Linked DNA regions of Caenorhabditis elegans. The protein of the gene in region 1 interacts with the protein of each later gene in a pairwise test. Each region holds a gene or a part of one and is shown on either strand. Other genes may lie near its edges.

The links.
Region 2: the proteins of tmed-3 (region 1) and rnh-1.3 interact in a two-hybrid assay, tested with the Caenorhabditis elegans proteins (one large-scale study listed by BioGRID).

What each region holds. Positions count from the first base shown.
Region 1 is NC_003279.8:6,560,883-6,564,254, reverse strand, and holds tmed-3 (GOLD domain-containing protein), read right to left. Parts: upstream 1,557-3,372; 5' UTR 1,549-1,556; coding exon 1,408-1,548; intron 1,356-1,407; coding exon 1,065-1,355; intron 900-1,064; coding exon 720-899; 3' UTR 595-719; downstream 1-594. Other genes in the region: bag-1 (BAG family molecular chaperone regulator 1), read left to right, coding at 10-353, 416-544; xpg-1 (XPG (Xeroderma Pigmentosum group G) DNA repair gene homolog), read right to left, coding at 1,956-2,477, 2,564-2,695, 2,742-2,902, 2,953-3,372.
Region 2 is NC_003279.8:9,709,520-9,712,557, reverse strand, and holds rnh-1.3 (RNase H type-1 domain-containing protein), read left to right. Parts: upstream 1-1,812; 5' UTR 1,813-1,814; coding exon 1,815-1,902; intron 1,903-1,950; coding exon 1,951-2,042; intron 2,043-2,089; coding exon 2,090-2,278; intron 2,279-2,347; coding exon 2,348-2,398; 3' UTR 2,399-2,470; downstream 2,471-3,038. Other genes in the region: fce-1 (CAAX prenyl protease 1 homolog), read left to right, coding at 1-116, 163-883, 930-997, 1,043-1,351.

The DNA.
Region 1 (3,372 bases):
ATTTTACAGGAAAGTTTCTTCAAGGCGCCGACGATGTCTCCCTTTCTACTTTAAATTTTAAAGAAAATGATAAAATCATTGTGATGGGTGGAAAAAATGCTTTGGTTGATGACGCGGGCTTCAAAATGCTCATGCAATATGAGAAGCATAATTTGAGCAATCTTCAAAAAGCCTATGATCTCAATTTGAGAGATGTCGCTGATTTGGAACGTGGTTTTCTCGAAAAACCAAAGCAGGTCGAGATGGGGAAAAAGCTGGAAAAGAAAGTGAAATATTTCAACGAAGAGGCGGAAAGACATCTGGAAACTCTTGATGGGATGAATATTATCACTGAAACTACTCCCGAAAATCAGGTGTGTCATAATTTTATTTTGTACTTTGAATAAGTTTTCGATTCAGTTCAATCAACTTTCAGGCTAAGCGAAACCGTGAAAAACGCAAGACGCTCGTAAACGGAATCCAAACTCTTCTTAATCAAAATGACGCACTTCTTCGGAGACTCCAGGAATATCAGTCAGTTCTCAACGGAGACATTCCTGAATAATTCTCAATTGCATAAAATTGCTTCGGGTTTTTATGTTATGAAACTCAGTTATAAATCAATAAATTATATTCTTATGCTATGTATCAAAGGGAGGAAAAGGGGCAAAACAACTGACGGGACCCATTAAAATGAGAAGGCTGCTAATTACAAAAAAAAGAGCAATGGTGTGAAAAAATTAATAACGAGTTCTTTTATCATTGAAAAATGATTTGAGCAGGAAAACTTGGCCAATTCCAATGAATACTACGACGGCAGATTGACCAAGGGACCAGATCATCACGCGCTCGTTGAGTTCTTCTGCACGTTTGCGACCAGTTGCTTCACGGAGACGATGATGAGTTTGATAGTCATCAATCTACAAAAAAGTTTATAAGTATGTCAAATGTCGGGTGAACAACTTTTTTAGTAAGCTCCCAGCAAAATAGAGTTGGAAAAATGAACGAATTCATAAAATTCGAAAAAGTTACGTTTTGAGCATTTTCTAATTGTAAAAATAAATCTTTTTAAATAAAAATCTTACTGTTCTCAATTTATCTCCAATAGCGACTGCATAATTTTCTAATTGAGTCATTGCATGAGCTCCTTGAGTAACGGCAGCATGAAGAGCATTTTGATCACCGAATTGCCAATCCATGTAAACGATTTTATGAGAGAATGTGGAGAATTCATTTGAAAAGCATGCTTTGTATGTTCCTTCAACTTCGGCCTTGAAGTTGATACTGTCGTACTGCTTTTTAGTATCTTTATACAAAACTTTTCCATTTGGATCCTCAATGATCAAGTCTACGTCATAATGGCCTCCAGTAACAACCTGAAATTATCAAATTATTACAGTTTCTACGATTTTCAATTGAAATACTAACTTGGAATTCAAACACTGTGTCAACATCCTTTTTCAGATCTTCATAAAAACACTGATTTGCGTTGTCTGGAAGTTCGAATGTCAATTCGATTGACAGACCTAGGGCCACAAGAATTGATGAAACTATGACAAATTTGAGCATGATCTTGGCTGAAAAGTTGAAATATTTTTACAAATTTATTCGAATTGGATAAGAAGCAATACAAAATTATAATTATTCTATTAATAGAGAGAAAACGTGAAAAGGAGAGAAATTCGACGCATGGAAAATGCCAACAGAACACTAGTTCAAAGGGGCGCACTTGCAGCGCACAATATTTATATTTAATTATACAATAAATATATTATAAATAGAACATAAAATAGAACACATTAGAACATTGCACATTTTGTGCTCAATTGTAAGAGAAGGCTAAATTCATTATTTTGTATTAAATATTAATATCAATAAAATATTCACAAATTGACAGAATAACTTCAACGTAATAAAAGAAATTGGTGTAAAATGCAACATTTTTATTTATTTTCAATAGATAAATTAGCTAAAAACTAAAATTCATCAAAAGAATCATTAGAACTGCTTTCCTCAGATAGATTCAGTTTACTATTAGCTGGTACAAGAAGTGCTCCTCCTTTCCCGCGACCTATTCCTCTGGCACGAGTTACACGTTTCACAGCTGTTTTGCTCTTCTTGATTTGTTTATCAACTTTCTTTTCTTTTGACATTTCATTGTTTTTCATAGTTCCCGCTACACGTTGTCCAATTTTGTCCAGCGCCTCGACAATTTTTTTCGACCATTTTAGTTCGAGAGAACTATCCAATTTCTGTGCGAAAAATCGGTCTAATCGCATTTGGCTTTGTCCACCGGATTTTAGAAAATTATTCCATTTTTCGAAAGCGTCAAATGAATTCTGCTCTTCGTTGTGCTGTTTGCGATCAGGCCATTGAAGGCGTTGATGAAGAATTCGACGGATCAATGGAATATTCATCTGGCGCCATCGAAGTTTTTCTGATGATGAATCAACGATGGGATGAAGGTAGGCATGCACAGCGTCTTGATTAGAGCACACCTGAAATTGAATTGAACTATTAGGAATTTAAGAGAAACATGAGTTTCAGTATGTTGTTTTGTTTTCAAAAATCTAAAAATAAGTACACATTTGATATTCTCCATATCGTTTGCTTCAGTTACATGTCTTCTCAACATCATTGCATTTCGACTAGCAACTCGTTTATCATCCGGAGCAGTTAAGAACAAACTTTCCACGTTTTTAAGGAGCCTCATGATCTGAAACTTTTCATAAGGGACTCCATCACATGTGTAATTATCTTACCCTGTTCTCAATGACTTTAAGATCATTTGTATTATCAATCCTACATTCAACATACTCGGACACCAGTTCAAGTGCACCAATGGCTCCAACTTTTACAAGTCCTGCACAATAATCACCCCCAGAGAGCAGAGCAATTGAAATGTAGTCCTCACGTTGGAGACCTAGATTTTTAGAATTCAGGAAATATTCTAATGTTTGCCATAAATCTTACAAAAAAGTTTGCAATTATCTCTATTCGCTGTTGTCTGCTCTCCATATCGTTGTACTCTCCGATTCTTAGAAAACATATGACGATATACATGTTGTGCTCCAAACGCCCACACATCACTATCATCACTAACGACACCATCAACTAATCCAAGTCTCTCCAGCTCAACACATTGAGCTTCCGCTTCACCAGGCGATTCGATCCACGGAATGCCTGCATTTGTAAGAAATTCTTGAAGATCACGATATAATTCAGGCGTCTTATCATCCTCATCACTATAGTTCAAATGAATATAATCTTCCATGAGAGCAGGAGCAGAAGATGTTGATGGCTTATCGTATCGTTGAGGATCCCATTCAATCTCCTCATCTTCACTTGGAACCTTGTGTTTCTCCAAGCTAGCCATTCTCTTATCCAATGATT
Region 2 (3,038 bases), 3.1 Mb from region 1:
CCAATGAAGTCAAAGAACTTATTGGAGAAGAAGATTATAAGAAGGCCAGAGACTATAAAATTGATAATCATTTATTCGGATTCTTCCATAGTTGGTTTAATCAGCTTCTCCTCACGGTTAGTGACTGCTGAAGTTTACTTTAAATGAAAAAATAATTTTCAGGCACAATTGATTGGAGGATATTATCCATTCCTTTGGTACGCAACGGCTAGTTATCCATTGCATGTGGCTGTATTTCTCTCAATAAACTCAATAATTGAAACAATCATCGATTTACCTTGGGATCTATATTCCACTTTTATTATCGAAGATGCCCATGGATTCAATAAACAAACTATTGGATTCTATTTCGTTGACAAAATTAAGAAAATGCTCGTCGGATTTGCTCTCACTATGCCAATCGTTTATGGAATTGAATGGATTATTGTCAATGGTGGACCATACTTCTTTGTCTATATTTGGTTATTTGTTTCTGTTGTTGTGCTACTTTTGATGACCATTTATCCAACTTTCATCGCTCCACTCTTCGACAAATATTTCCCATTGCCTGATGGAGATCTCAAGACGAAAATTGAACAATTAGCTGCTTCTCTCAGTTATCCATTAACTGAACTTTACGTTGTCAATGGCTCAAAACGCTCGGCTCACTCCAATGCTTACATGTATGGATTCTGGAAGAACAAGCGCATTGTGCTCTATGATACTTTGCTAAGTGGAGCTGAAAAGGAGAAAGTACATGAATTGTATGTGGCAGCTGGAGAGAAAATCGAAGAAACTGAAAACGACAAAAAGAGAGGAATGAACAACGATGAAGTTGTGGCCGTTCTGGGCCATGAATTGGGTCATTGGGCTTTATGGCACACTTTGATCAATCTTGTCATCAGTAAGTTGATTTAACTGAACTCACAGCAAAACGTAGAATTTTTCAGCTGAAGTCAACTTGTTCTTCTCTTTTGCAGTTTTTGGATACTTTTATAAATGGGAAGCCCTCTATCAAGTAATTATATTTAAACCATTAAATTCTTAAAATTTTAATTTTCAGGGATTCGGCTATCACGATACTCCACCAGTCATTGGCATGATGCTCATCTTCCAATTTGTCCTCGCTCTCTACAATCAACTCGCTAGTATTGGAATGGTTATTCACTCCCGTTCTGCTGAATTTGGAGCTGACGAGTTTGCTGCTAACCTCGGACACGGAGAAAATCTTATTGGAGCTTTGACCAAGCTTGGTGTTGACAATCTGTCGATGCCTATCAATGACTCACTCTACTCATGGTGCACTCACACACATCCTCCAGTTGTTGAAAGAGTAGCTGCTGTTAGAGCCTTCCAGGCAAAGAATAAATAAATTCCCATGTTTTACTACTTGTTTCTTGAATGCCAAAGTATTTTATATAATTTAATTTATGATTGTAATGTGATATTATTGCATTTTTTGAACTTAAATTTCGTTAATATTCTCTATAGTAAATAAATTTTTTTAAACAAAAACTGGAAATACAATTAAATTCCAAGGAAAATTTTAAAACGGAACGAGACTGATCTCTCGGTCTCTCATTCGCACAAACTGTCTCATAGAAGGGTCTCGCCGCGACTCAAATACAGTACCCGCGGAGAACAAAAAAAATGTTTTCTAGAATGTTCGCTTTATTGTTGTTTTGTTTTGTTAATTCCCGGGAATTTCCAGAAGTTTGCTTTCTTCTGCGAAACAATTCATATCATCATTTTGTTTTTATTAAGATCTCCGTTTTCATTCTTCTTTTCTCTCTCGCATGCTTTTTTCCTATCAAATGAACTGAAATTTTAAAGAAATGCCGTACGACTTCTACACCGACGGTTCCGCTCTCGGAAACGGCCAACAAGGCTCCAGAGGAGGCTATGGAGTTCACGTTCCAAGTGGTACGGTTTTTTGTGCAATTAATTGTTCCTTATTTGAACATATTTCAGATACATCGAAGAATGTGAGTGGCTCTTATCCACACGGACCACAAACCAACAATCGATATGAGCTGGAAGCCATCAAGCACGCCACCCAAATGGTAATTTTCAAACATTCGTACCAACATTCAATTTTCTGCATTTTCAGGCTCGTGATGTTCCAGACAGCCACGTGAGAATCCACACTGATTCCAAGAACGCGAAGGATTCTGTCACCAAATGGAATGACAACTGGAAGTCGAATGGCTACAAAACTTCTTCGGGACAAGATGTGAAGAATCAGGATCTCATCAGAGATATCGACCGCAATGTTCAAGCGCTCAAGCATAGTGGAAAGGTAAGATTATAATTATTATATATAATTCATAAAACACCGCTTTTTAATGGAAATAATTAAAAATTACAGACTGTCGAGTTCGAGCATGTCCGCGGACATAGCAATAGAATGTACATTTGAGTACCCAAGCCCTCTATTTTTCCCGCATCTTTCCTTTTTGAATAAAAGCAATAAAGATGAATAGTGGATAAACTTTCTTGGATTGAAGGAATATGCTCCGAAACACTGGGAAAGCTTCTTGAAAATATCAAGAATCGCGAGTACGGTAGCTGATATAGTGTATCTCATTTCAAGTCCTGGTCTCGAAGAGAAGTGATTTTTGCGCCAAAACTACGACATCCGAAAAAAACAAGAAAAATCTATGAAAATTCCGGAGCAACGAAAGTTTGAAACTACAGTACTCGTTAAAGGCGCACACCTCTTTGCCTTGAACAAAAATGTGTCGTGTTGAGACCAGGCACTGTACCGTTGGCGTAAAAATCGCAAAATTTCGGTTAATACGATCTTCAAAAATATTCAAACATTTTTTTTTTAATTGAATGAATGTTTGACAACTTTTGTGAAATCACAGCTCACTCGCTCTATTCAACGTATTTGCTCGCACCCAAACAGTTTGTGTGATCCGAAATGTTTTTTTTATAGAGCAGATTGCTCTTTTCGCAGTGAGCATTGCTTGCATTGCACCGCGAGCAGGCCAAAAACATCAGTCTATTTTCTCTTTTCAAATACATTTCGCACATTCGTTTTGTGTGTTACGACC